3 linked regions of the Mus musculus genome follow. The protein of the gene in region 1 binds, or shares a complex with, the protein of each later gene. Links are inferred from orthologs where the notes say so. Each region holds a gene or a part of one and is shown in the gene's direction. Other genes may lie near its edges.

The links.
Region 2: Cdk9 (region 1) and Eaf2 share a complex: the UniProt entries of both Homo sapiens proteins name them as parts of the super elongation complex. The link is inferred for Mus musculus from reciprocal best matches to the Homo sapiens genes CDK9 and EAF2.
Region 3: Cdk9 (region 1) and Eaf1 share a complex: the UniProt entries of both Homo sapiens proteins name them as parts of the super elongation complex. The link is inferred for Mus musculus from reciprocal best matches to the Homo sapiens genes CDK9 and EAF1.

What each region holds. Positions count from the first base shown.
Region 1 is NC_000068.7:32,706,373-32,715,447, reverse strand, and holds the start of Cdk9 (cyclin-dependent kinase 9), read left to right. Parts: upstream 1-2,663; 5' UTR 2,664-2,791; coding exon 2,792-2,883; intron 2,884-3,335; coding exon 3,336-3,417; intron 3,418-4,656; exon of another isoform or gene 4,657-4,880; coding exon 4,881-4,971; intron 4,972-5,238; coding exon 5,239-5,405; intron 5,406-5,503; coding exon 5,504-5,675; intron 5,676-5,832; coding exon 5,833-5,981; intron 5,982-7,158; coding exon 7,159-7,524; 3' UTR 7,525-9,075. UniProt on the Homo sapiens protein: Protein kinase involved in the regulation of transcription.
Region 2 is NC_000082.6:36,793,554-36,803,877, reverse strand, and holds part of Eaf2 (ELL-associated factor 2), read left to right. Parts: intron 1-3,033; coding exon 3,034-3,291; intron 3,292-9,951; coding exon 9,952-9,998; 3' UTR 9,999-10,324. UniProt on the Homo sapiens protein: Acts as a transcriptional transactivator of TCEA1 elongation activity. Acts as a transcriptional transactivator of ELL and ELL2 elongation activities. Potent inducer of apoptosis in prostatic and non-prostatic cell lines.
Region 3 is NC_000080.6:31,490,370-31,501,192, forward strand, and holds the start of Eaf1 (ELL-associated factor 1), read left to right. Parts: upstream 1-4,709; 5' UTR 4,710-4,899; coding exon 4,900-5,002; intron 5,003-7,339; coding exon 7,340-7,434; intron 7,435-9,750; coding exon 9,751-9,887; intron 9,888-10,823. Other genes in the region: tRNA N(3)-methylcytidine methyltransferase METTL6, read right to left, coding at 1,953-2,087, 3,228-3,598, 4,279-4,282. UniProt on the Homo sapiens protein: Acts as a transcriptional transactivator of ELL and ELL2 elongation activities.

The sequences.
Region 1 (9,075 bases):
TAGTAGCTGGGATTCCAGTTGTCTGCCACCAGGCTTGGCTTCCGTAGCTGTTAAATGGCCATACACCAGACCCTCTTGAGGGTGTGTCATCAGCCAGCCAGTCAGCAGGTGTTGACAGAGGCTGAGTCACATGCTGGGCCTTGGTGGTTTGGGCAATCCACAGGAAGCAGGCATTATTTGCAGCCAACAAAGCGGTAGCCAAAGTGGATTCGAAAGGCTAGTCCCCCTCTCTAGTCCCCTCCTGGATTTACCAGTGGTGGAGAACCCGGACTTCAGAACTGGGCAGCCTTACAAAGCCTCCAGACCACCACTGCTTCCCTGTGGAGAGCTGAGGGCCCATGACTCTGAGGAAGTGACTGGAAGATGTCAGGGCTCTGGTTGGGGCCAGAGGTGACAACATCACAGGAAACCCTGCTAAAGCCTCTCTGCCCACAGGATGTGACTTAGGGAGGGCTCATGAGAAACAGGCACCAGCTACGGCTTAAAACTCCACATAAGCCCTGCAAAGTCCTCGGCCCTCAGTGCTACTGTTACCTGCCACACCTCCTCACCCCCCCCCCACTACTCCTCACACACACCCCCGGGGGCAGTGAGTGCCAGGTGAGATCACTCCCAAGTTTTGTCACGCTTTCATGCTGAGCCCAGATTGGGAGGGGCCTTGACATAGGAGGACTGTTGGGAGTTTATGCCAAACTTACCTGGTTCAAAGCTAGTGTGGCCACTGACTGGCAGTGTGACCATGGCCCAGTCATCTCACCTCTGAGTGTCAGGGTCGTTATGTACAGTGGAGGGAAGAGCAGTGCTCCGTGAATAACTGATAATAGAAATAACTCCTGTGCAGGGCTAAAGGGAGGACTTAGCCACATCCTGTCATCATAATTAATGCACGTACTCTCTCCTTACCCCTGGTGGCATCCCCCCACCACCACTTCTTGTTTCAGGTAAGCAGTGTATCCAGGAAGGTAGGCTCTGGGTCATATGGCTTGATCTCCTTTAAAGCCCTGGCTCTATGGAGGGTCTTGAAAAATCTTGCTGCCAGGACCCTTCTCATAGTAGGTACTCTGGGGCTCCAGGGTCCCCGAAACCAGTCCTCCTTCCAAGAATCTTCAAGCCCAGACAATGTGGGATAAACCTGGAAAGCACTGCTGGACACAGTGATACGGTGAGTTGGGAGGGATGCCTGGAGTTCAAAGGTCAGCCTAGACTACTGTGTGAGCACCAGACCAGCCACGACTTGTCTCCATCAAACAAGAGGGGGAAGCAAACGGGAAGCCTGCAGCTGACCCTGGAGAGTGGGGTGGCAACTCTGAAGACAGGAGGGATTGGGAAACTGAAACAGAAGGGAGCTTGTAGGACCACAGACCAGGAGGTAAACGCTGGAAAAATCGGCCATGATCAGCTCAGAATTTCAAGACAGTAGAGGAAGACAGAACAGACTTCAGACTCTCCTCTCTGTCTCTCTGTGTTATTGTTGTTTTTCCTGGCTGTCCTGGAACTGGCTCTGTAGACCAGGCTGGCCTGGAACTCAGAAATCCATCTGCCTCTGCCAAGTGCTGGGATTAAAGGCGTGCGCCATCAAGGCCCGGCTCACGCCCATTTCAAAAGCATCAGGAGTGCCGGCTCAATGTTAACAGTTTTGGGGATGATTGACTCTGGACAGACCAGCTTTGGCGCGGCTCTGTGAAGGAAGGTTGTAGTAGATCCATCCTGACAACACAAGATCCAAGGGTTTAGGCCTGAGCGTTGATCGCTCACCGCCCACAGTGTCGCCGCGCCCCCTGGCGGCCGTCAGTTGCCATGTCAACGGCGGGTGGCTGAGACGACGGAGGCGGCAGCGGGGGCAGTTCTCTCTTCCCCTGGCCTCAAGGCCGCTCCCACGGCACCTCCTGCCTTCGCCTCACCGGGAGCACACTCCCGGTCCTGGAAGAAGGGCCATTCTGTAGCAGCTGGCATTCGGGGGATAAACTGAGGCACGCAGGAGGGAGCCGCAGGCAGGTGTCTAGTGCGGAGCCCCACCTCCAAAGGCAGAGGAGGGGCTGCGAGCAGTGACGCGCCGAGGGCGGACGCTGGACTGGGAGCGGGAGGGCGGGAGGCGGCGGCGGCAGGTGCGGCTGCGAAGGGTGGGAGGAGGAGGGAGGGGGTGGGCGGAGGGGGAGGGGAGGCCAGGACGGGCACCTCCCCCTTTATAACGCGCCCCCTCCCGGGCTTTCGGGCCGCCTCCTCGTCTGCTCTGCCTATCTCGCCCCCTTGCCCTGCCGCCCCGGGCCGGGCTTGGCCAGGGAGCCTCCGCCCCCAGGCCTTCCCCCCACCACCACCCGCCGCCCCGCGCAGCCCGGCGGAGGCGGCGCCGTCGGAGGAGGAGGAGCAGGGCACTGCGGCTGGCCCCGGATCGGGAGCCAGAGCGGCAGCAGCTTCGGCAGCAGCACGGCCCGGGCCAATGCAGCGGGACGCACCGCCGCGAGCCCCAGCCCCAGCGCCACGGCTTCCTGCGCCCCCGATCGGGGCCGCCAACAGCGCTGGCGGCGGCGGCGGAGGCGGGGGCAGTGGCGGCGGCGGAGGCTCCTCTGCAGCTCCGGCTCCCCCTGGCCTCCCGGGAACTACAAGTCCCAGGGGGCCTGGCGGCGGGCGGAGACCGGAAGAGGCGGGCTCGGCACCTCGAGGCCGGAAGTGGCCGTGGAGGCGGAAGTGGCGCGGCCGCGGAGGGGCCTGGAGTGTGGCGGGACCGGGAGCGGCGGGAGCTGCGGCTGGGGGCGGCGGCGGCGGCGGCGGCGGAGGCGCGCTGGAGGTGGCCATGGCCAAGCAGTACGACTCGGTGGAATGCCCGTTCTGCGATGAGGTCACCAAGTACGAGAAACTTGCCAAGATCGGCCAAGGCACATTCGGGTAAGATTAGGCCGCGTGGGACCGCGAGCCCGGGACCTGCACTTTCCAGGGCCGACGTCGGGTCGCCCAGAGCCCGGGCCGAGGTGGTCCGGAAGCTTCTGTTTTCGTGGCTGTTGCCCGGTCTTGCTCGGCCGCGGCGCAGACGTTCCCGGCCCAACCGAGCCGACTGGCGGGGAGGAGCCTGGGGCCCGTGATGGGGGTTGGGTAGGGTTGCTGAGAGCCACTCCGAATGTGAGCGGCCACCTCTAGGGGAGGAGTAGGGGCTGAGTAGGAGTAAGCAGAGGCCGGGAGGAGGACGGAAGACACGCGGTGTGGAATGACCGCGTCCCGGATCCGAGGCCGCACCCCGCCCGCCGTGGGTCTGGGCTCCTGCTGCTCCCCTTCGCGCGGGGGAGGGGCACTCCCTGCGGAAATGCCTTATGGGTCCCTTGGGTCTTTCTCTGTGCCTGCAGGGAAGTCTTTAAAGCCAAGCACCGTCAGACGGGCCAGAAGGTGGCTCTGAAGAAAGTGTTGATGGAGAATGAGAAGGAGGGGGTGAGTATATGGACCACTGGGCCGACCTTCTTCTAACCTGGCTGGGTTTCCACACCGCTACTTCAAAGGGTTTTGTGCTGAGATTCGACCTAGTGTTTTTCGGTTTTCCATGGAACAAGGAATTTGGCTTTCCATTTACACTGTTGAGCTTTAGTGGCAGAGTTCTGTGGGAGCCACGGGAGGGAGCCTGTGCTTTTCCCATGGAGTGCAGGTTGACTCTAGAAAACTTTCAGCTTAGCTTGGCGTTGAATTTTGTTTTGTATGAAGAGACCATTTGTGCACAAGCCGTTTAAAAGGCCGCTGAGCTTAAGGTGATGTTCTGAAAGGTGTTGTTTCCATCAGCCTCAGCAGCATTGCCTTTGTAAGGAAAATGCTGTTTGTCTTACTTTGCGTCTATAGGGTCTTCTGTTTTCTGGCATGTCTGTGTACAGCACTATTCTCCAGTACCTGGGTACCTGAGGAAGCCAGAAAGGTGTGCCAGGTTGCCTTGGATCATTTGGGACAAAAGATCCACTGTGTGGGTGCTGGGAATTGAACCTGGGTCCTGGGGGAGGATAGCCAGTGCTGTGGTGTGTGTGTTTCCCTGAAACAGGGACTCTATGTTTTGTTTGACACAAAATCTCTCTGTAGCCCCAACTGTCCTGGAACTCACTGTTTGGTCCAGGCTGTTCTCAGACTCACAGAGGATCAACTGCCTGTGTTTCCTGACTGCTGGAAATAAAGGGCTGGACTGCCACACGTGACCATAGCCAGTTTCCTTAACCATTCAACTATCTCCATTCCCAGGAAATTTCTTGATCTTTTTGGTTTTTTTGAGACAGGGTTTCTCTGTGTAGCCCTGGCTGACCTGGAACTCACTTTGTAGACTAGGCTGGCCTTGAACTCAGAAATCCACCTGCCTCTGCCTCCCAAGTGCTGGGATTAAAGGCGTGCGCCACCACTGCCCCACAAATTTCTTGATCTTAACTCACAAGTGTTAGTGACAAAATGTTTATCCTTATTTGGGTTGTCTAAAATAAATTCCCAGTCTGGAGTAAAGGGTTGTGATTATAATCCCAGCACTTATGAGACTGGGGAAAAAAGATGGTTCATAAACAAGTTCAAGGCCACCATTATCTAGATGGCAACATTTAGCAGCTCCTTGAGATATGTGTGTGTTTGCACTTATTTTATATTTTGCAAAGGCTAGCTACAGATAAATATAGATATATCTTCCCCTCTCCCTTCTTTTTGAATCAGGAGCTCAACTAAGCAGTCTGGCCTTGAACTTGGTGGTTCTGATGTCTCTGTCTCCTGATACGAGAATTGGATTCCAGATAGGAACCATCACACAGGAACGATTCTCTCGCCTGTCTTTCAACCTCTGTCCCTCAGTATAGACCCCAAACACACCCCCACCCCACCCACAGTTCCTCCGTCTGTTGTGCTCTCAATTTTGACCACTTCCTCTTTCTCCTCCCTAGTTCCCCATCACAGCCTTGAGGGAAATCAAGATTCTACAGCTCCTAAAACATGAGAATGTGGTGAACCTAATTGAGATTTGTCGGACCAAAGGTGTGTTGCTTGCCTCAGGAGAAAAGGGGGGTTTGAGACAAGGTTTCTCTGTGTAACCCTGGCTGTCCTGGACCTTGCGCCATAGACCAGGCTGGCCTCACACTTAGAGGTCCACCTGCCTCTGCCTCCCGAGTGCCGGCCCCCCATCTTCTCTGGTCTTGTTTGGAGTTGGGTGTCTGTGGGTTGGAGGGCTGGGAGTTGGCTGTGGAAAATGAGGTGGATGCAGGTTTTTATTTTTTATTTTTCTCTCTGCCCCTTCTGTATCAGCCTCACCGTATAACCGCTGCAAGGGCAGCATCTATCTGGTGTTTGACTTCTGTGAGCATGACCTTGCTGGGCTGCTGAGCAACGTCTTAGTCAAGTTCACGTTGTCTGAGATCAAGAGAGTGATGCAGATGCTGCTGAACGGCCTCTACTACATCCACAGGAACAAGGTGGGGCAGAATGGGGCTTCTCTGCTCTTGACTGCTGTGTAGGCCAGGCTCCAGGATGCTATGAAACCTGACTGAGCTCTTGTGTGTCCTCCCTTCAGATCCTGCACAGGGACATGAAGGCTGCGAATGTGCTCATTACCCGGGATGGGGTCCTGAAGCTGGCAGATTTTGGGCTGGCCCGTGCCTTCAGCCTAGCTAAGAATAGCCAGCCCAACCGATACACCAACCGTGTGGTGACATTGTGGTACCGGCCTCCGGAGCTGCTGCTCGGTGAGGACTCCCGAGCGGGCAGAGGGGGGCAGGGGCCGGGTGCCTACCTGGCCACAGCCCCCATTGCCTGGGGCCTTTTGAGCCATCAGCTCTGGGACGTGGAGTCTCAGGAGGCCCTTGGGCTTAAGAGGCACTCCCGGTACCCTCTTCTTCTCAGGAGAGCGGGACTACGGCCCGCCCATTGACCTTTGGGGTGCTGGGTGCATCATGGCAGAGATGTGGACTCGTAGCCCTATCATGCAGGGTAACACAGAGCAGCACCAGCTCGCCCTCATCAGCCAGCTCTGTGGCTCCATCACCCCAGAGGTGAGTAACCGAACTGGGTGTTCCTGGGGGATGCAGAGACCCAGGGCCTCTGGCCAGTAGTGGAGAGTGGAGTCCTTCTGTAGAGGAAGCTGATTGCTGCAGGCCAGGCTTACTGTTCAGTTTGTTTGTTTGTTTGTTTGTTTGGGTTTTTGGTTTGGTTTGGTTTGGTTTGGTTTTTTGAGACAGGGTTTCTCTGCGTAGCCCTGGCTGTCCTGGAACTCACTCTGTAGGCCAGGCTGGCCTCGAACTCAGAAATCTACCTGCCTCTGCCTCCCAAGTGCTGGGATTAAAGGCGTGTGCCACCACGCCTGGCATGGTGCTTACCACTCTTAATGTTGGTTGTATGAGCTCTCTGTTGCCGAGACAAAGTAAGTACATGAGAAAAACAAAAGCGCCAAGAGTTGCTTTTGTTCAGAAAAACAGAGAGGTTGTTTAGCCTTTGCTTTGGTGCAGAGATGCTGCTAAATGTCATAGTAGAGAGTCCACTGGAGAGAGGGTGTGGCCATGGCAGGGAGGGAGCAGAAGAGCAGGGTCCAGTGTGTAGCTCCAGTGGTGGCCCACTCAACCCCAGAGGCTTCAGCACACATTCAGCAGGCCTCATGGTTCCTTCCCCTTTGGGTGGTCCCCTCTCCTCCCAGAAGTTTCTGCCACCTCCCAATAGCGCCACCTGCTGGAGACCAAGCATCAGCACAAGCTTCTAGAGACAGAGTTTCTTGGTTTTTTTGTTTTGTTTTGTTTTATTGGGGTTTTTTTTCTTGGTATTTCGTTCGAGACAGGGTTTCTGTATAGCCCTGGCTGTCCTGGAACTCAATGTAGACCAGGCTGACCTCGAACTCAGGAATCCGCCTGCCTCTGCCTCCCAAGTGCTGGGATTAAAGGTGTGCGCTACCACTGCCCAGCTCGTGTGGTTTTTTGTTTGTTTGTTTTGTTTATTTTTTGTTTGTAAAATGGGAATGTGCCTGGATGGGGGCTGGCACATTTATCGCAGCTGACTTGTGTTCGGGCACTAGGGGTGTGCTCCATCTGGTGACTGGTGCTTTTAACTTGAAGACATGATCTCTGCGATGGAGGGGAGCTCAGGGAACCTCTGAGAGAAATTGTTTTAGAAACCCACTCCCCTGGCATCTCAGATAGCAGTCTTACTCCAACTCCGTTCTCTCCTCAACGCCTCTCTTAGGTGTGGCCAAACGTAGACAAGTATGAGCTGTTTGAAAAGCTGGAACTTGTGAAGGGCCAGAAGCGGAAGGTGAAGGACCGTCTGAAGGCCTACGTGCGCGACCCCTATGCTCTGGACCTCATTGACAAGCTGCTGGTGCTGGACCCCGCGCAGCGGATTGACAGTGACGATGCCCTCAACCACGACTTCTTCTGGTCGGACCCCATGCCCTCGGACCTCAAGGGCATGCTGTCTACTCACTTGACGTCTATGTTTGAGTACCTGGCACCGCCACGGCGGAAGGGCAGCCAGATCACCCAGCAGTCCACCAACCAGAGCAGAAATCCCGCCACCACCAACCAGACGGAATTTGAACGTGTCTTCTGAGGCCGGAACTGGCCGGTGTTGTTCTTAGGTTAGGAGTGGATTGCTTCCTTTGCATGGAACATGTGACATGATGGGACATTTGAGATTTTCTCCTCCAGTACATATTAACTCCCACCCTGGCACTGGGAACAGCTGCCTGAGTGGGCTGGGGTGGAGCTATCCTGCCTGCCCCTCTCTGGAGGTCTCAGCGTGGACACAAAGTGAGGTGGGAGAGGCTCACCCACTGTGACTTTCTAAGAACTACTTGCATGGTGGGAGGAAGGCACAGGTCCCTCGCCATCGCCAGCTCTTCCTCTGGATGAGAGTTTGAGGGACAGAGGCGCCTCCAAAATGGGCTACTTTTGGTCTGGACCTTAGGGGCGTGGGGCTGTGTGAACTCCTGGTTCCTTTAAAAGGAGAATTTTATTTTGTTTTGTTAAGTTTAGAGACATTCCTGGACGCAGTTTGATTGGTTAAATTAAAAGTTGGTTATTTTTTTCCAGTAAATGGCTGCGTTTCCTGTGTTCAGACCTTCCCTCAGCTCTTGTCTCAGCTAGAAGCTAGGGTTTGGTCAGCCAGGACACTGCCAGTTCTTCTGTACCACCCAACACTCTGGAGACGTTCAGGGTTTGCCCTCTTCTCCTCCTGGGTACCTTCCACTGCGCTCTTCACCCCCGCTGAAGGCGTGTCCACGGTGCCAGTGTCCTGTGCTTGGTGTTGGCAAGTGCTGTAAGCTGAGCTGGAGTGAGCTGCTGGACCCGGGCTGCTTTGGCTCCTAAATCCTCAGACTGGACTCATAAGCAGGGCACTGCAGCCTTACAGTCATGGAGTGACAAGTGTAGCCTGTAGCTCCAGGGCTTGGGGGAAGCAGGACAGAAGTGGCCAGAGTGGGGTCAGGTGGCATGGGTTGGGGTGAGGGCAGGATGGAAGGCCAGTGTGGAGATGGGATGGTCCTAAGGATGCAGGGTAGGGACCCTTAGGGCACTGACCTAGGCGGTAGATTCCCCAAGAGTTTCCTGGAGTCTTCTCACAGAGCTGCCTGAAAAGGACAGTTTTAGTCCGCTAGCTAGCTCTGGGAGCTGATACAGTACTTGGCCTGTGATTTTGTATTTTCTTTTTTCCTTGCATGTTTATGCTCTTATGTATTCCTGGTACCCAGGGAGGCCAGAAGAGGGCTGATTCCCTGGAACTGGAGTTAAAGGTGGTTGTGCGCTGCTGCCGTGTATGTGCTGGGAATTGAACCAGGATCCTCTGGATTTGCAGCTAGAACTTTTAACCATGCAGCCATCTCTCAGCCCTTTATTTTGAGACAAAGCTGTCATGTAGACTAGGATGTCCAGAACTGCAGGTCTCCCTGCTTCCTCCTTTATTTAGGGAGCTAGGGTTACAGGTGTGCGCCATCACTTACACAGCAATCTTGGTCCTGGAAACCATCCGTCAGCATCTTCTGTGTATGTATCTGTGAGGATATCTGTCGTTGGGTTTACTGCCCGGGATAATCCCATCTTAATCAGTTATGTCTGCGGAGACTGTCTCCCCGTAAGGCCACGTGCTTAGGGCATGATTGGAGAG
Region 2 (10,324 bases), on another chromosome or scaffold:
AAAACACCCTAAAAGTCAATAGCAGGTGACACTAAACAAATCTTTAAACACTTGGAAATTTACCTACTTTTAAATGGTCCATGGGTTAAAGAAAAAAGAGAGAATAAAAGGAAATGAGAAACACAGAAAGTGGACATGATGCATCCAAAGCAGTGGCGGGGGGGGGGGGGATCTGTGAGACTCTAAATGCTTGAATTAGAGAAGGAGAAAGGTGTCATACTGAAGTTCCAATGCCCAGAAAAAGAAAATAATAAACCCAAAAAGGCAAAAAGAAAGAAATAATAAAAATAAATGAAACTGAAAGCAGTAGAGAATGTCAGTGAAACAAAGAGTTTATCAATACATATACACAATTGATAAACCTCTATTCAAAAACAAAAATGAGGGCTGCAAAGATGGCTCAGTGGTTAAGAGCACTGGTTGCCCTTCCAGTGGTCTTGAGTTCAATTCTCAGCAGCCACATGATGGCTCACAATCATCTCAATGAAATCTGATTCCCCCTTCTGGTATGCAGCTGTACATGCAGATAAACATTAAATAAATAAAACTTTAAAACAAAATAAAACAAAATAAGAAAAGATATGAATCATTAATATTGGGAATTTAATGACCATGTCTATAATCAGTAGTGGATCCAGTGGCCATTAAAAAGATACAGAAGAATATTACAGCTATGTCAGGGAGCACCAAGGAAGAAGGGAAAGAATGTAAGAGCCAAACAATAGGGATAGGGAAGACAGCATGCTGTAGGGTAGTGACATGCTGTCTGTGGTTCTTGTGAACTCACAACGGTTGTAGCTGCCTACAAGGGCATGTGCAAGACAGACATACAATAAGCGTTCAGTCATGTATGAGGAATTCATAGGCTACCGGAGGAGAGGGCATTGTCTTCAGTGATTGTCATTGATGACCTGCTCATCTTCAAGTGGGTAGCTTCACACCCATGCCCATGAGAGTAGATCTAGTTAAACCCTGGTAGGTCACAAAGCAAAAACAAAACCCAAAAGACATGAGTCATCAAAGCTTTCTCTAGACCAGCTGGAAAAAGAATGAAGTCCATAGGTATGACACTGCACAGTGCATACTAAGGACTAAGGAAAAAAACTAATAATGCATTTTGTATTTTTACACTTTTAAATTTTTCATTATTTATTATATATTTATTATACATATCAAATTAAATTTAGATATTATTTGTGCCCTGTTTTTGAGACTTTACTTATTATGCTAATGAGTATATTGCATATACATTCATATATATGTATAAAACTGGTACCACATACATGCAGTACCCTTGGAGGCCAGAAGAGGGCATCATATCCCCTGGGTCATGGATGTTGTGAACCACCACGCGGGTGCTGGGAATCACTCTCTAGTCCTCCGGAAGAACAGCTAGTGCTCTTAATAGCTGAGCTTCTCCCTCTTTTTGAGGAAAAGTCTCACTGTATAGCTCTTTGAACTTGATATTCTCCAGTCTCAGCCTCCTGAATGCTAGGATTACAAATTATGATGCCATACCCAACTGGTTACCTATGCTTTTAGTCTCATACTCCTGTTATTAAAATCCAGCTTGGTGCCAAAGGAGGGGCTTTTAATTTATTTTTTTTTATTTTAATTAAAACATATCTCGCTTTCCTTTCGTACCTGCAAAAACTCCTATATATACCCTTTTCCATTCTCCTTTAAGTTCATGGCCTCTTTTGTTCACTAATTGCTATTGCATGCATATATTATTATTACATATTATATATAATATATAATAATATATTATATTATATATAGTATAATATAATATATTATATTGCATGCATATATGCATGTAAATACATATACATTACCAAATATAACCTGTTTAGTCCACATATTGCTGTGTGCTTGTCTGTCTGCCTGCCTGTCTGTCTGTCTGTCTGTCTGTGTGTTTCTGCATGTTTTCAGGGCTGATCATTTAGCACTGGACAGCCAATTGGTGTGCTCTTCCCTGGGGAAGAGTATTTCTCTTGTTCTCAGCTTCCCTCAGTTGGCTAATAGCTTTTTGTGTAGAGTTGAGGCTTCATAGGTTTTTCGATATCCGGTTTGGTATGCTCATTTGTATCATCCTTGTTTAGGTAACGCTTGGGCAATAGACTCTGTGGGTATAGCTTCTGATGTCAGCAGGAGACACAATCTCACAGCCAACTCCCTGATCTATTTGTAACATTGTAAGATCTGGGAGTCATACAATCTTTTCGTTCCCTCCTCCCAAATGTTTCCTGAGCCTTGGGTGCAGATAGGTTTTGTAGGTATATCTGTTGGGACTGGGCTCTACAACTCAGAATTTTGATTGGTTGTGGTTTTCTGTTTTGCTCTCTGTCTATTGCAAAAAGAAATTTCCTGGATGGAGGGACGAAGACTACACTTATCTGTGGCTGTAAGGACAAATGTTTATAGAGTGTTATTATTAGGGATAATTCTGGTCTTTTAGTAAATTAGTGGTTGTAGATTCTCCCCTAATAACCATGACTTCACTAACACTGAGAAGTTACCTAAGTTTCTGGTACCTAGTATAATCTTTCTGGCTGTGTGAGTCATGAGTCTGCTGGTTACCACCAAGGTGTATGTACCACTACTACTATGTTGTGTTATTGTGACAATTGATGGGGTCCATGGGCACGATAGCTGGGTGAGACAGTTGGTTGCCTCTCTCCATTGAAGCTTCCAAATGTCACCTTCTGGTACCATGAAAGGTAATCCTCAAGGAGAGGGCTTGTGGGTCAGTTCCAGCAAAAGGGTCTCTGCACCCTGTTATTGAAATACATGGTGTCTTTAGCGATAGGGACCCACCTTCCACCTGTGGTGATAACCAAGGGCAACAGCAGCAGGCTGGATGTTTAGAAAGTTTCTTGGACAGTGCACTACAGGAATTTCTAAAATAAATGGTTTAGATGCTGGAATATGTGTTTTAGTTTTATTTATTCCTTATCTTAAAAACCTAATGCATTTATGTTATTGTGTTTCTTCTTGTTATTTATTTGACTTTATTATTTCTATTTTCAGAACTGAAAGCAGAAGCTAGTCTTATGGACCAGATGAGTAGTTGTGATAGTTCATCAGATTCCAAAAGTTCTTCATCTTCAAGTAGTGAGGATAGTTCTAGTGATTCTGAAGATGATGACCAATTCTCTCCTTTGGGTCCAAGGAAATACAGCTCGGAGCACCCTAGCATGTCTGCTGGGCCACAGTACAGGACTTCAGAGGCTGATGCTACTTGTCACCGACTTCAGGACCACAGTACCCTTCTGATGAGTACTTTACGTAAGTATGCATAGCCATAAGAACTAAAACAGGACTTGCATTGTAGCCATGTTTATTGTGCACTAAAATTTAAAGAAGAATCTTAATTTATGTATTTTGTAATCATTAGCCAATTTTTTTCTCCTTTGCAAGTTTAAAATGTACTCTGTCACTGGAGTGAGGGCTCCTCGAAGCTTTTCCATGGGCCCTTTTCTTTTTATTCTATCTTCTTCTTTTTCTTAGATAACCTCCTCATGCTCCTGTTTCTATCTATTTATCTATCTATCTATCTATCTATCTATCTATCTACCCATCTATCTATCTAGAGAGAACTTTCAAATACCAATCTCCATGCAGACCTCTGAGTCCTGGGCAGATAGGTCTAGCTTCACCTCTTAGTAAAAGGCACTTCAAATACTGTACAAATGCTGTACAAAAAACAACACTATATTTTTTGGCTCACTGTCTATTTGCCTAGTGAATGGCAGCGTTTGTGTCATTATGTAAACCAGAAGCCTGATTGTATTCCAGGATTGAGTTACTCTCTTACCTTTTTGTATACTCAATATTTCATCAAGTCCTTTTGACTTCTACTTCCTAAATATCTTTTAAATCCATCTACTTCTTTTTATCTTTATGACTACCACTGTAGTTCAGCTCATTTTCTTGATTTCCCCAACCATCAATACCAGGACTTCCTCCCAACTTCATGTTCTCCCTTTCCCTTAACTGCTATGTCCACTTGATGTTGCCAGTATGTGTATGAACATCACTGTAGGTCCATTCACTGAAACAAGGTCAATCTTCTAGGGCTGCATCTCTGAAGATAGCTGAACTTTCCTTCCATAGAAGCCTCCAACTGCCAATAGCTCTTCATCTTAGGGTGGAGTTTTGTGAGGTCCTTGCACATTCATGTTGAAGTTTTGACTGGCTTGATCTTAGGCAAGTCTTGTGTATATACAGTCAAGGAAATTTTCATCAACTATGTATATTATTAGCGATAATGATCTTTTAGTGATTATAATTTAATTTATCACCTCTCTTGATTTATACTTTTCAAAGTTTGCAATTCCTTTTACAATAGAGAGTAGACCTTAACAAAATTATATTGCTTTATTTACTATTTATTTTCTTAGTGTGGCTGTTTGAATATGTATGATCCAGGGACTGGCACTGTTTGGTGGTATGGCCTTGTTGGCGTAGATGTGGCTTTGTTGGATTGGGTGTGTTACTGTGGGCATGGGCTTTAATACCCTTGTACTAGCTGCCTGGAAGCTAGTTTTCTGTTTGCTTTTGGAACAAGATGTAGAACTCTCAGCTCCTGCACCATGCCTGCCTGGACACTGTCATGCTCCCACCTTGATGATAATGCACTGAACCTCTGAACCTGTTAGCCCGCCCCAATTGTAGTTCATTCCATTCATGAAGAACATTTTGAAGAAGCAAAGCAGACTTAGAAAGGAAAAATATAAAATGTGTGGCTCAAGTAATAAACGGGCACCAGGAAGTGAAATGGAGCTGAATCCTGTGTTCAAGGAGGTAAACAGATTAAGGGAGTGGTGACTTCTGGCAAGATTCCACCCAGCTAAACTTGTTATTTATGCATTTACCATTGAACAAGGAATAGTTATATCATGTTAGCCACTATTATTACTTGGTTATTGTTTTCACTTGGACTTTTAATCTGGAATGAACTACAATTCAGAAATGAAAGACACAGGCTTTTGACCTGAATCTTGAGGCATAGCGGCCATGAAAAGCTTAGGTTCAGGTAAGGTGGTATGCGACTTTAATTCCAGTAGACAGAGGCAAGCCGTTCTCTGAGTTCAAGGTCAGCCTGGGATACAGAAGATTCTAAGTAGAGAAAAGTTAGAAAGAAAAAAAGAAAGAAAGAAAGAAAGAAAGAAAGAAAGAAAGAAAGAAAGAAAGAAAGAAAGAAAGAACCACACCTTTAATCCTAGTATTTAGGAGATAGGCATGCAGATCTCTGAGTTCAAGGTCAATCTACAGAGCAAGTTCCAGAACAGCTAAGCTTAGGAAGTGAAAGAATTAGAAAACAGAAAGCTGGTGATGATGTAATAGAAGAAGGGCACATGTTCCAGCCCCACTAAGCAGCAGAACTCAGCAGCTTTGTCCGTGTGACTCTCCCTGTAGAGTCAAAAATAGAAGAGATTCCTGGGACAATTGATGCTGATTTTCTGGAACTAATAAATTAGCAGTGATTAAGAAGAGACCAGTATCGATTGCAAGCTTGTACAACCACTCTGGAAATCAGTCTCGTGGTTCCTCAGAAAATTTGACATAGTACTACTGGAAGATCCAGCAATACCTCTCCTGGATATATATCCAGAAGATGATCCAACTGGTAATAAGAACACATGTTCCACTATGTTCATAGCAGCCTTATTTATAATAGCCAGAAGCTGGAAAGAACCCAGATGTCCCTCAACAGAGAAATGGATACAGAAAATGTGGTACATTTACACAATGTAGTACTACTCAGCAATTAAAAACAATGAATTTATGAAATTCCTAGGCAAGTGGATGGATCAGGAGGGTATCATCCTGAGTGAGGTAACCCAATCAAAAAAAAAACTCACATGATATGCACTTACTGATAAGTGGATATTAGCCCAGAAACTTAGAATAACCAAGATAAAATTTGCAAAACACATGAAACTCAAGAAGAAAGAAGACCAATGTGTGGACACTTTGCCCTTTCTTAGAATTGGGAACAAAACACCCCTGGAAGGAGTTACAGAGACAAAGTTTGGAGCTGCGACAAAAGGATGGACCATCCAGAGACTGCCCCACCCAGGAATCCATCCCATAATCAACCACCAAATGCAGACACTATTGCATATGCCAGCAAGATTTTGCTGAAAGGACCCTGATATAGCTGTCTCTTGTGAGGCTATGCCAGTGCCTAGCAAACACAGAAGTGGATGCTCACAGTCATCTATTGGATGGAACACAGGGCCCCCAATGGAGGAGCTAGAGAAAGTACCCAAGGAGCTGAAGGGGTCTGCAACCCCATAGGTGGAACAACAATATGAACTAACCAGTACCCCCAGAGCTCCTGTCTCTAGCTGCATATGTAGCAGAAGATGGCCTAGTTAGCTATCATTGGGAAGAGAGGTCCCTTGGTCTTGCAAACTTTATATGCCTCAGTACAGGGGAACACCAGGGCCAAGAAGTGGGAGTGGTTAGGTAGGGGAATAGGAGTGAGTAGGTAGGAGAGGAGGGTATAGGGGACTCTCAGGTTAGCATTTGAAATGTAAATGAAGAAAATACCTAATTAAAAAAAATTGGAAAAAAAAAAAGAAGAAGAAGAAGAGACCAGTATCACTGAAGTGAAATCTGGGAAGTATTTTCTGAGAGCACAAAGAAGCTGTGTTTCAGAGATAGCCAAGGTTGAACCTCATGCTGCATCTGGACTTGATAATGTGTAAAATCACCCAGATGGTACTAGTTTTAAAGGTATGGAGAGCAGCTGAGGCTTGGCACTGTAAGAAGCCTTCGAAGGCCATTGGTGAAGGTGCAGTCTCAGTTGTAGTTGATGGCCCAGGACTGAAGGGGTCATGCAAAAAAGCTGAGGCTTGTCACCATGAAGAGAGCCTATGAGTTGCTATTGATAAAGTCTAGTTGCAGAGGAAGACCACAGTATGTTGGAGATGCCAGTACCATAGGATGATCACCAAGAACAGCAGGATCAGTGGAGTGGAGTCAGCCAGAGCCTAGAGTGCTACAGAGGGCAGAGCTGGAGATGTGACCCAAGCCTTTTGGAGGAACCCAGGAGATCAGTTTAGCTTAACTAGCAAATTCTAGGGCCTGAAGAACAACAACCAAGACTGTGTTCTGACTTCTTGACACATGCAAGCACACACACACACACACACACACACACACACACACACACACACACACACACAAAGTGTTTGGTACAAGCTAAAGACATAGCTCACTTAGGAAGGAGCTTGGAATACTTTAGTTCAATCCTTAGAACCCATGTTTAGAAAAAACAAGAACAAAACCTGAGTAGGGTGAGGCAGAGACAAGGGAATCCCTAGAGCTTGCTGGCCAGCCAGATAAACCCACTTAGTGAGTTCCACGATAGTGAGAGATCTTGTCTCCAAAGCATTGGCGGATAGCACTCAGGAACAATGCCTGAAACTGTCCTTGGCTTCCACATGCACTCAAATGTGCACATGAACACAAACAAAGTTTCTTGATAAGATGCAGGGAAATTATACTTTCTGTGGGAAGCTAGACAATGTATGGTGAGGGCAAGTGAAGATGGGAAAGAGTACTAGATACTTGGATGTTCTTCAGTTAGTAAAAGGAGGCTAGGGGGAAAAGCAACCACTTACACCATTCCTGTGGCTCTGTTTCAGAAGCCATAGTTTATACAGCATTGTTACTCATTGACTCCTTGAAGGACCTACCATATCTCCAAGAGATAGCAATCTTCAAAGGTGATTGTAAAACTTGTTTCTGGTAAATGGGGCAGAATCACAAGATCCTGCAAAGAGTGTTATAAAGGCGAGAGAGAGAGAGAGAGAGAGACAGACAGACAGACAGACAGACAGACAGACAAAGAGACAGACAAAGAGACAGAGAGAGGAACTTCCTCCTCAAAATGGACAAATATAATTCTGAAATAAAGAAAAAACCCATGTGATCCTAGGAAGATATATGAAGGCATAGCCTTTTAGAAGACAAAGTCTTATTATGTAACTCTGGCTGGCCTGGAACTTACTCTGTAGACCAAGCTGGCTATGTATAGCAAAACAAAGGAAAGCAGAAATAAAACAAAATCCAATATATTATAAATAAGAATCAAGTACTTTGAGAGAAGAGTGCTTGCATGCCATACACAAGACCCAGAGTCTGAGCTCCCGTACTTAAAAACATTATCATCAGTGCAATGGCTCAGTGGGTAGAGATGCTTGCCACCAAACTTCCTGAGTGGAGTTCAATCTCCAGAGCTCACGTGGGAGTGGGAGAGAAGGGACACCAACAGCCCGTCCTCTGGCTTCCACACGTGTGCGCAGACAGGAAGGTTCGTGTTTAAAGATTAAATTTGGAGGAACAAGTCCTAGGAATGTTCTGAAAAAGATCAATAAGTAGGCAAGACTGACAAGGGTGAGAAGTAAATTAGTGAGATGGAAGGTGCTGTCCCAGAACACAGGGTAAAATAAAAACTAAGAGAGAAGGAGAATAGATGGAAAAGATGAAACACTGAATAATGGGAATTCCCAGAAAGAATAGAAGGGATGATGTGAAAACTTAACCTTTAGAATTTTCCAGTACTGAAGACTGCCATGAATCTACTGCAGATGCTAAAATAGGCAAACGAAAATAATAAAGATACACCTTAACACTTAAACCACGGCATGCCAGGGAGGAAGTGATACTTGTGCTGGCATGCCTGGGTCAGAACTGAGAAAAGACTCAGCTTCTCTCCTGCTTCCATGTTTCCTCTACACCATTACAGTGTAGTTACTGGTATAGTCAGGTTCAACTTAGTTCCTGTTAAAACTGTTCAGTGCTTTCTCATTGTGTTCAAACAGTCTTTACTGAGACTTCCTCTCTACTTTTTCTGGCCTCATTCCCCATCTTTGTCTCCCTCATTTCTCCCACTCTGGCCACCGTTGCCTCTCTATAAGGAAAAAAAATCCTATAACCCCCACTCGTGTTTTGTCAGCTAATGGAGACTAAGAGAGGGAAAATGAGCTTTCTTCAGAAGTGTGACCCAAGCTTCAGCAGGTGGCTCTACACCCTGGTACCTTCAGGCAGAGCTAAATGGAGCCAGTGGGCTATTTTTAAAAAAGAGTAGAATGAAGAAGAGAAAGAAGATATGCAGTTTAGAGAAAGATGTCGTGTCAGGGAGAGAGGGTCCAGGAAGAGTTAGCTGCAGGGGTGAGTTGGAAGTACATGTGATGTAAATACATTGCATTCATGTGTGAAATTACCAAAAAATATGTAATAAAAAGAATCACAGCCACTCTACACTTGCCTTAGAGCATTTACACTTATCTTAGATGAGACACTGCCTCCATTGTTTAATGACTTTCTGTTCAAACGTTGCCTCTCATTAAGCTTTCCCAGCTATAGTACATACAATAGTACCTCCTGCTCCTCTCTCCATAGTCCCCCAGGACTTACTCCTACTTGACATTAGACTAGATATGTGTTTCCTGTCATTCTGCTCCACTGAAATGCTGCCTCCATGACTAACCATACAAATGACTTACAAAAGCCCTTGGTGCCTAGATAGTCTTTATGATACTGGGAATTGAACACAGGGTCCTGGGCCTGGTAGTCAGGCATCCTACCACTGAGTGACATCTGGTCTAAGGGTTCTTGACATCTCTTCCATAATGGTTTGGATTGCATCTGAAGGTAAAAACACACTATAAACTTTACACTCTTGAAAATGATAGTCTGATGTAATAAGAGAGTAGTGTAAAGGGAATGATGTTATCAGTATGTGAAAGAAAGCTAAAATAAATGCCGGGTGATATGAAATGCTGAAGTTTGATGCCGTGGCTTTTACTTTCTATGCAGTATTAATTGGTGTACATGGTATGTGGCTGAGTTATATTATAAGCAATCATATTAGACTAAATGGATTTATTAAATATTAACAGTTCAACAGTTTTGTTATTTTTATTTTAGGAAGTGACTTGCAGCTGAGTGAGTCAGAAAGCGACAGTGAGGACTGAAGCAGTATCAAGCTACAGAGAAAACATTTGTGAGATGTGTAAGAATCTGTTTTGTATTGAGAATAAATATTCCTATGTTTATGGAAATTGTGCAACTTTTGCTGAAAAAATAAAGTTGGTTCAGAATTTTCAACTATTTGTTGGTATTCTCATGTGATATCTTCATTTAGTCATAACAAAATGTTATCACATTTGGTAGATGAAAAACAGATTCAGATATTAGGGAACTTAACTTGCCCCAGGAATTGCTAACAAATGAGCTGCAGATCCACTATTCCAGAGTCTCTGTCCACTGTTGCCCCAAATTGTGAAATGCTAAAATAATT
Region 3 (10,823 bases), on another chromosome or scaffold:
TAAAAACAGACAAACGGGGCTGGTGAGATGGCTCAGTGGGTAAGAGCACTGACTGCTCTTCCGAAGGTCCAGAGTTCAAATCCCAGCAACCACATGGTGGCTCACAACCATCCGTAACAAGATCTGACTCCCTCTTCTGGAGTGTCTGAAGACAGCTACAGTGTATTTACATAAAATAATAAATAAATCTTTAAAAAAAAAAAAAAAAAAACAGACAAACAATGTTTTTTAAAAAGAACACTAGGGGCTGGAGAGATGGCTCAGCAGTAAAGGCTGCTTTCTCAGAGGACCCGACTTCCACTAACCATATCAGGCAGCTGCCGATAACTCCAGCTACCGGGGATCTGCAACTTCTGACCTCTGCAGGTGTGCCGTGTTTATACGCACATGCAGGCACATACACACTATACATAATTAAAAATAGAAAAATAGCTGGGTGGTGGTGGCGCACGCCTTTAATCCCAGCACTCGGGAGGCAAAGGCAGGTGGATTTCTGAGTTCGAGACCAGCCTGATCTACAGAGTGAGTTCCAGGACAGCCAGGGCTACACAGAGAAACCCTGTCTCATAAACCCAAAATAGATAAATCTCTAAACTCTAAAAGAAAACTAAAATGGTACAGATGCAAATGCAAAAGAGTTGGCTCGGTGGTTACGAGCACCGTCTGCTTTTCCAAAGATCTGAGTCCAATCCCCAGCACCCACATGAGAGCTCACAACTCTAACTGCAGTTCTAGGGGATTGGGCCCTCTCACACACACACAAGCAGGCAGAACATAAATGTACATAAAATAAAAATAAATAGATCACTAAAAACAGGGCAATGGAAACAATAAATGATTATCTAAGTGCCAGGCGTAAAGAATTCTTACACATGAAGCCTGTTACCTCAAAAGTAAAATGCTAATAAATTTGATATGAGCTAGGAATGGTGGTGCACACATATAATTCCAGGACTCAGGAAGGCTGAGGCAAGAGGATCAACAGTTTAACCTGCCTCAGCTTGGGCTATCTCAACAACAATAACAACAACAACAAGACATAATTAAATCCTGCATTAGAAAAGGGCTACAATTAATAATATTGAAAAGGAAAAAAAGAGATGCTTGTAACATATGCATGATTAACAAACATCCTTACTATATTCTAAAATAAGAACAGAAAAATAGGCAAAAGTTATGCACAGATTAATTCTTACAACTAGCACACAGTAAGCTCTCACTAAACACACGGAGAAGAAAGGAGGTAATGGTAGAAAAAAAAAGGTATGTGTATTTACGAATTTTAGTCTTCAATATCTCTAGTAATGAGAAAAATAAAATGCTCAGACTTTTTTTTCTTAGATTGGTGAAAGAAAAGAAAAATAAACCCGAGGAAACAATTATTGGTAAAACTAAAAACCGGCATGGTCTTTTGAAAGGAAATGTAGCATTATCTATTAAAACGTAAACATTCACATCTCTATTTTTTGGGGGGGGGGGGGTTGAGACAGGGTTTCTCTGTGTAGCCCTGCCTGTCCTGGAACTCACTCCATAGACCAGGCTGGCCTGGAACTCAGAAATCTGCTTGCCTCTGCCTCCCAAGTGCTGGGATTAAAGGTGTGCACCACCACTGCACAGCCACATCCTTCTTTCTAAGGGATTCTGTTTCCTCCATTACTCATCACAGAGGACTGTGCCTGTGAGTTTTGTGAAGCATGTATACAATCCTGGTCACAGTAACCTATCTTAAAAGGGCACGCAATCAGACACCAACCTACAAAGTAAGCCATATGAATCAAGCACAGAGACTGTTTAGTAGTATCTCTGCTTTGCTTTGAATCAAATATTTTCACGTGCACAGGCAACAGAAAACGGCTTCCGTGGTGCTCATGGCTGGTGAGCTCCTGGATGAGGACACGACTAGACAAAGGCATAAGGAAACAAGCAGCGGAATACATATACGGTGCACCAACCTTCACGTAGTCAACTGCCCTTGGAGAAAAATCACAGGCATAGGCAAAGAGATTCAAGTCTTCTTCTAAAAGTGGGAATAAACAGTTCCCAACCCCACAGCCAGCCTCCAACAAAGTCAATTTTTGACCTTCATACTGAGGAATGAGAACACAGAAGTTATAACACATTGCGTTTGCATAATAAACATACCAAGCTAAAATGTTCAGTAGGCACGAGATGTCTCTGACCTCAAGAGGCAGATACTAAACAACAGAGCTAGTGAGAAAAAGTTAAACACTGGCACCTCATTTATAATCATTCGACAATGGGCAGTTAGTTCAGTGTGAAAAATAAGGCAGCCACAGCACAGTGCATACACTCTGGGCTAACCTCCTCCTCAAATCCCAACTCCTCTTTTGCCCCTGGATTCCATCCTCGGGCAACTCACTTCTATAGCTCTGTGCCTCAATCGTTTTTCCTGCAAACAGGAACAACACGAATGCACTTCAGAGAGTTGCTATGAAGCTTAACTAAGGGAACAGATGCAAAATTCTTAGAAAACAGTACAGCAAATGTTCATTAACTACCAAGCAGCTTCAATCTGTCACTAAAGTGTAGTCTGAATATTTACTATTTCTAACCTTCACATCAGCTTTAACTAAGCAGAAAGCATTAGGGGGCTGGAGAGACGGCTCAGTGGTTAGGAGAACACATGTTCAATTCCCTGCATTCATATGGCCACCTACAACTGCCTGTAATTCCAGTTCTGGTGGCCCTGACACCCTCTTCTGACTTCCACAGACACTAGACATGCATATGGTACATAGATATACATGCAAGCAAAACACCCATATGCATAATAAAATAAACAAATCTAAAAAGAAAACCTTAAAGCTCTGTTTTCTATTAAACAGCCCAGACATTGCTAAACATACTTGAAACAAATCAGAACTCTCCATAGGTACATTCTGACAGACGTCCTAATTTTCTTTAGGGTAGCTCAGTCAGTAAAGTGCTTGCCACACAACCACTAGCACTCAGGTAAAAAACTGGACGTGGTGCCGCACAGTTGGAATCTCATTCTAGGAAGGCTCCCTGGGGATTACTGGCTATCTAGCCCAAGCTAATCTGTGTGCCCCAAGTCTACTGAGAGACCCTGTTTCAAAAAACAAGACAGCTCCTGAGAAACGGCACCTAAGGGTGCCATCTGGGAGCACTCTCTACATGTAACAAAGGACCTCTCTTCTAGGCATCATAAATGAAGATGGCTCGAGCCAGGAGAAACCCCAGCCTACCTCCCTACATGATCTCAACTCCTCAAACTCTCTGGTGGTCCAGTGTCTGTCCTTGAAAAAATTGGTACTGTTTCTTTTATAAAAAAGGTCCCAGTTCTTCTGAGCCTCTTTTTCCAGTTTTTGCTGTTTAAAAGCAGACACCAAAGCTTGGTCTCTTTTCAGTTTCTCCTCTTCTTCAGTGCTAAGAATCCTTGCTTGCAGTCCTTTCCTTTGGAAAGAAGCCATTGTAGTTGCCGGAAACACATTCAATGCTGCTATAGGTCCTCTGTTCTTCAACCATCTGAACAAACGATGCTGAGATTGTAGACACTGGAGTTTCTCTGATGCAGTTTCCCCAGGTGACTTTCCAGCTCCAACAGGATACGATGCTACTTAGGAAAGAGAAAGGGGGGGAGGGGGTTGACTGATTGATTCTGACTAGTGATTCTCTAACAACCTGCCTGCTTCTCTCCCCATCCTGTTCATCTGAGCCAGGGGCTGTCCCTGAAGCCCAGCCTGTCCCTTGAATGTACTTCCTCTTGCCTCATCCTCCCAACTCGGGTGACCAGGGCCTCATCAAGCTAGATCGTTCTTTATTATTTCTAGAGCTTGGATTCTAAACGAGTCCAAGACTCGGGGAGAGGTTCCCGGAGGGCTCTTTAAGGCTCCGGGGTCAATTCACTTAACACTCCCGAGATGCTGACTCTGCCCAACACCCTGCCGGGGTCTGGAGAGGTCATAAAGACCAAGACAGTCTCTACTGCATAGAGCTTACTACACTCAGAGACCAGAACTCTCACGGACCGGACTCCCAATTCAAATCAGATGAGCCAAGTACTACAAGAAATAGGTTTACTTAGGGCAAAGGGACGCATCCACGAGTTGACTGAGAAAATGTGAGAAAAAAAAATTCTCATCAACGTTCAGTGCCCGTGGGAAACGTGACTTCAAAACAACGGCAACAACCGCCCTAACCGAAAGCGGGTAGACGATTGCCTAACAGACACGGGATCGCGGGGGGGCTAAGGAGGTGACGGAGCTGATCCGGAGAGGCCGGGGTTTCTGATCGTACCCATAAACTGAAGGAAGCGTCGTCGGCCAGGAGAACTGAAATCCTCTCATCGCAACCATGGAGCGAAGTAGGGGGAAGGGTGACTGAGGTCCCGAGAACCGTCATCGCTCTCTGAACCCTCGGATAAAGCAGGCCGCTAGGGTCTCGGGCATGTCCAGGGACACTCATACCTACATTCAAACTCGCGTCCACTCAGTTCCCCACGCTCTGAGCTCCCAGGGTCCCCAGCAAAGAACAGGTCAGGGCGCACTCACCCGTCAGTCAAGCCCAGGCGTCGGCAGCAGAATCTTCTAGCTGACCTGGGCTCCTCCTTAGACCAGAAAACTGTGGGCTGCAGCAGTCCCGGAGAACTCTCTCTCCATGGCACTGCCCCCGCTATTTCCGTTGGGGAGACGGAAGTCCCTCCCCAATGCCGGAAGTGCAGCGGCCTTACTTCCGCAGAGTCTCTCGAGACGCGGAGTAGATTGGTTTCCGGCCCCGGGTGGGCGCGGACTTGGTTCAGTGCGCGCTCCGGAGCGGTGTCCCGGGAGCGCGGTCCTGCGGGCCGCTTGCGCGGGGATCCGGGGGGACTGCGGCCGCGCGAGGAGAGCTCCAATCCGGGTGCCGGGCAAGTGCAAGGCCATGAACGGCACGGCGAACCCGCTGCTGGACCGGGAGGAACACTGTCTGCGGCTAGGGGAAAGCTTCGAGAAGCGGCCGCGGGCCTCCTTCCACACGATTCGCTGTGAGTGAGCGCCCCTCCAGGTTCACTTGGGGCTCCCTGGCCGCCACGTGCAAGCCCAGACTCCCCTGGCTAATCCCGGCTCGAAAGCGTCGCTTTCCTTACCTCTCATCCCTTAGCCTCTGGAACTTCGATCTGCTCTTTTACTTTGAAATCTCTTCTCCCAAACCAAACCTCTGATTGCTGCCAACTATTCTTTTACTTTACAGTCTCAAATACCACTTCAGAAAGTCATAGCCCCTTTATTTCAAATTCCCCTTCCCAGCCCTTAAGCCAAACTTTTCTCCTTTAGTAGCGATGCCCATTTCTCCTCCCTTGTGTCCCCGTTCTCTTTGTCGAATTCTTCCATCAGGGCTCTTGCCCTGGAAAAGTCTTCCGTTTGCTACGAGTGTCGTTTACTTCATTCCTTCCCTTGCTCCTTTCCCCTTGCTCTTGGTCTCCTCCACAGCCAGGGAACCTGCATTCTTCGTGCCACCCATAAGGTTTCTTCTTCCTCTCTGCTTATGACACTGATTTTGTTGTTGTTGCTGTTCGAGACAGTCTTACTAGTGATGCTGGCCTAGAAATTACTATATAATTCAGGCCAGCGCTGAACATGCTGCAGTCCTCCTACCTCAGCTTCTGTGGTGCTGAAAATATGGACCTGATCCACCATACCTAGCTAGATTAATGTCACCTACTTCACCTTAACTTCTGGGCCAACTCACTTGTGGGTGAAGAATAAAATTAGAGTTTGTGCATCTGGCATAAATTAAAGCCTGATCTATGTTTGGAAAATGAAGAAGGCAGCATAAGGAATGTGGAAAGAGTCATTATGTTGGGCCCTTTCCTACGTGATTATAGACTCTGAAAGGGGTATTGCCACTGTGTGTCCTGAGTCAGGACATGGCTGACCAAACCAAGCACATCCCTGTGAATCACAGGCGTCGGGTTTCCGGTAGCGTTAGTGTGGGTTAAGACCTGCTTTGTCATGGGAGCTAATCGATGTGACTCAACACACAGGCAGGGGGGTGTGTTAGATATTAAAGTCCCATCTCTGTGTGGCCTCTTGTCACATAGCTGCATCTGTGCTTTGCACCCACAGCAGACTCAGCTGTTGCAGAGAGACAGTACTGGGGAAACGATAAGATTGTCATTTCCCAGTTGACTAATTTGTTCCTCCACAGAAGAGCAGTGTAAGTTTAAGTGCAATTCTGCACATGTGCTCCTGGCCTGCAGTTTGAGTCAGGTGCGAAGTAAAATGGCTGTTCCTATTGTGTAAGTGTAATTTGCAAGAATAAGCAGGGTAATTTCTGGAGTTCGCCAGTCTGCTTCTGAACATAGCCAGACTTTTTTCCCCCACCAAAATGAGAACTTGAATGTGGCATGTTCTATTTTAGAACATTTCTGTGCAAAAAGAGGCCAACCTCATGTGGCCTGCTGTGTCTTATGTAGGATTTATAGTTAAGAATGTCTGCTGAAAGCAGGCAGAGGTGTTGCACGCCATCCCAGCACTTGGGAGGCAGAGGCAGGCAGATTTCTAAGTTCGAGGTCAGCCTGGTCTATGAGTTCCAGGACAGCCAGGGCTATACAGAGAAATCCCTGTCTCGAACCCTCCTCCCCCCCCCCCCAAAAAAAGAATGTTTGCTGTGTTGCTTTTATACACACAGTTTTTATATACACAGTTCTGGTATTACCTTATTATGGATGGTGAGATGTTAATTGTGTGCCTGACACTTGGAAGAAGGGATTGTCTTACATTAACATAAGAGAGTGTAAGTTTCAGAGAGTATATAAGTTTCAGCTCCCTGTACTAAATGATGGTATAGTTGAAGGCAGCGTATATAGAGGTGTTTCTGAGTTGATAACTATTGGGTGAGAGCATTTGGGGCTCATTATTACCGTGAATGAAGCATATGAAGTTTTCTATGACAAAGTCTTTTAGAATTGTAAATGAGAGGGCTGGGGAGTTGGTTCAGTCTGTGAAGTACTTGATATGAAAATATGAATATCCGGGTTGGAATCCACATAAAGGAGCCACAGGATAAACAGTTCCTATCTCAGTGCCAGAAATATTGAGACAGAAGGATTACTGGGGACCCACCGGCCAGCTGGCCTTGCCTGTTCAGTGAGTTCCAGGCTAATGAGAGACCCTGGTCAAAAAAACCAAGACAAATAGTACTTAAGAGATTATCTAAAGCTGTCTTCCATAGGTACCTGCAGATATTTGTACACATGTACCTGTGCATATACAGGCACATAAAGGCATTCTCAACTGCTTTTATTTAATCTGAAATTAAAATGCCCAAGAAGTCTTCATTTTCAGCCACCCAGTGGGAAATATCCATTGTTTCCTTTTAGACGATTTTAAGCCAGCATCAATAGACACTTCCTGTGAAGGAGAACTCCAGGTTGGCAAAGGAGATGAAGTCACCATTACGCTGCCACACATCCCTGTAAGTTGTTTCCAATGTTGATCTAATGTAACGACCTTGTGTTTTATTTACAGTTCAAATTTCCTTCTATTTATTTATTTATTTATTTATTTATTTTAAATGTTTAGAGAGCTAACGTAAGTAAAAAAGGAATTTAGGAGTCAGATGGGTTCTTACTCATGCGTCTTGGGACTTGGTTTAGGTAGTTCTTTGTCTCTAGTCTTTACTCCCCATCTCTGTCCAATATATAGTATAGTAGGCAAGGTTCCGTCTAGACAGTGGCCCCTTTGCTAGACATATATAACACTTATCCCAAGCAGTTCTGGAGAAAAGGGCCCTATGTGCCCTGCATAGCAATAGCAGCTCCTGAACATAGAACAGCCAGAAGGCAGGCCAGGAGCCAGAGTGACATCTCTATATTTAGTAAGGGATCCGGTGCAGGCTGATGGTCCTAGGCAGGAACCAAAGTTTGGAACACTCAGCTAATTTAGGGGTGAAGAACTCAGTTAAAAGCTGCACCAAAGACTTGGAAGAAAAGACTTTGTACTGTAAGGCTCTCTTCAGGGCAGCACTGTGAGTCTGGGGTGGTAGCTCAGTGATAGAGGTCTTGCCTTGCACGCATGAGGTCTTAGGGTCAATTCCCAGTTCAGCCAAAGGAAAACAGAAGGGAGACCTGTGTTTGCGTTCACGACACCTTGGGCTGGGGAGATGGCTTGAGGAAATGAAGTACTCAAGCAGGAGGACTGGAGTTTGGGTGCCTCAGAACCCATGTAAAAACCATGGCAGACATGGCAGCTGCTGTGAGCCCACAGTCACAGATAAGGACATGGTATCCCCTGGGCAAGCTGTCTAGCTAGACTTAGTTGGATTGAGCAAAAGAACCTGCCTCAAAAAAGAAAAGTGGAGAGTGATTGAGGAGGGAGCCTGATGTCAGCTTTGGGCTTTTAGGTGCATGTAGATACACACATGCACCTGTACCTATTTCTGCCCACACACAGAAAACACGAGAAAACACGTGTACATGCACACACACACAGAAGAAATAAACAGAAAACAGTTAGACTAGAAAAGCTCCTTAGTACGTGTCACGGCTCTGTCCTCAGACACAGCAAGTTCTGTAACTGGTGACAGAGTGCAGACTGCAGCAAACCTGGAAGCCCTGGAGCAGAGGGAACAGCCTTTTCATCTGAACTCCTGTTTCATTACATGTTGCCCATGGAAGATTACATCATCTCCCATTGGACCTGAGTTTCCCAAGTGAAAAATGAAGGGGTTAGGTACATGGTCCCTATGCACCCTTCAGACTTAAGTTTCTACTGTGCAGTTAAGGGGCTGAAGAGCCAAGCAATTTAGTTTGCTGTTGTTTTGTTTTGTGCTTCTATAAATTCTGAACAACAAGTTAAATCTTATATTTAACAAATATTAAATCAGTGTCCAGTGTAGGAGCCCATTAGTGGGCTCTAAGAATTAACTTTAAACCAAATGAGTACATTTCCTGATGTTGTGCAGCTTAGGGTCTGGAATTTAAATATAGGAATATATAGTAGCTGCTGGATACGATGCTTTCCTGTAATCCTAGCCTTTGAGAGGTGGAAGCAAGGTGGTTGAGAGTATAAGGCTAGCATGGGCTACGTGAGACCCTGTTTCAAAACCAAACCAAAATAAACACTTGTGGAAAACCAGAGAAGAGTTATTTGAACTTAACAGAAGATCGAGTAATTTACATAGTGTCAAAATATAGCAGGCAGAAGGCCAGTTTCAGCCCTGAAGCAGGAAAAAGAGCCTCTTACTTCCTAAAGACCTCAGAGCCCAGAGATGGGTGGTGGGGTCAGGCCCTGCCTTAAATTCATTATCCTTTGCCTTGCGAGCAGCATGGGAGCCATTGAAAGGCTTGGGGTGATGGCTAAGTAACATGGGCTCCACTCACTCAGCTGAAGGGCTGGCCACCCTTGGAGAAAGCTGCCTGGGTTATTTGCATGAAGGGGAAGCCCTGGGCTCTTCCATTACAAAGAAATACAAAGATCACTCCCTCCTCTAACCAGTTAGTAATAGCTCTGTGTAGTGTAGGGCAAGGTGAATTGTCCTCAGTTTGGGCATTGCTGTTCTTTGAACTATTTGCCCACATTAGTAAAGAGTTGCCTAGTAGCTTAAAGTTTTTATGTTCTATTTCTTGAATCCCTAAAACCAGGTGCTTACTATAACTGCTCCTTTCTTTTGCCTGGAAAGCTGGGGGAGTCAGACAGAGATCAGTCATCTGCCCCTTCTGCGCAGGTCTGATGATGGATTAGGGGACCGTTCGTAATTGGTGTATTTATCTTATACTTTTGTGGCAAACAGGGGTCCACGCCGCCAATGACGGTGTTCAAAGGGAACAAGCGGCCCTATCAGAAAGACTGTGTGCTCATTATTAACCACGACACTGGAGAGTATGTGCTGGAGAAGCTGAGCAGCAGCATTCAGGTCAAGAAGACAAGGTATGGCCAACCTCCGCGTTCTCCCTTCCTCTTGTACTGTAGGGATTGAAACCGGGGTCTCCTGTGCTGGCAGGTGCCCGTTCTCCTAAAGAATAGCCTTAAGTGTTTCGAAATCTTTATGGCATTCAGTCCAGTTTTATAAGAGTGTGAACATCTCCTTGCTCATTAGTGTTCAATCAGTAATATTAGCCACTCCTGTCTCAGATACATCAATAATAAAATGTACATTTTTTTCAAATACAGTAAAAAGAAATAATGCTTTTGAAAGCTAAAACATGAAGCCTTTGGGGAGAACAGGGTATTTATAATTGAGCCAATTTTGTCAGACTCATAACTGCTCTTATACTATCAAGTAGGGGATTCAGTTTATATGTATAGACTGAAAAATACAAAATAATAATTGCATGACCTTATTAAATTACTGCTTGTAAATTAGGATATATTTGATGTGCCTATACTATCAAAATGAAACGTCGTCTACTATGTATGGTGGGTCCTACTGTAAGTGCAGTACTGGAGAGTTGGCGCACCAGGATCAAGAGTTCAAGGCCCTCTACAGCTGCAGAGTGACTTTGAAGCTGGTCTGAATTGCAGGAGACCCTGTGTCAAAACAAAAACAAATAACAGTGGTCTTGCAAGATTGCTAAGTGAATAAAGGCGTTTGCCACCAAGTCTAATGACTTGAGTTCAGTCTTCAGGACTCACGTGGTAGAAGACCTAGCATAAATACAACTATAATTTTAAAAACTTAAAAACAATAACCAAAAAAAAACCTTTCCTACTTTTAAAATAGTGAACTTTTGGGTTCATTCAATATTAGAGTTTATTTGAAAGTCAATATATTCTATAACTGGAATACAATAATTATTGTAAGATAATGATTAAGGTTTTTGTCGGGGAGGGCACTAGGCATCAAATGCAGAGAGAGAGCTTTGC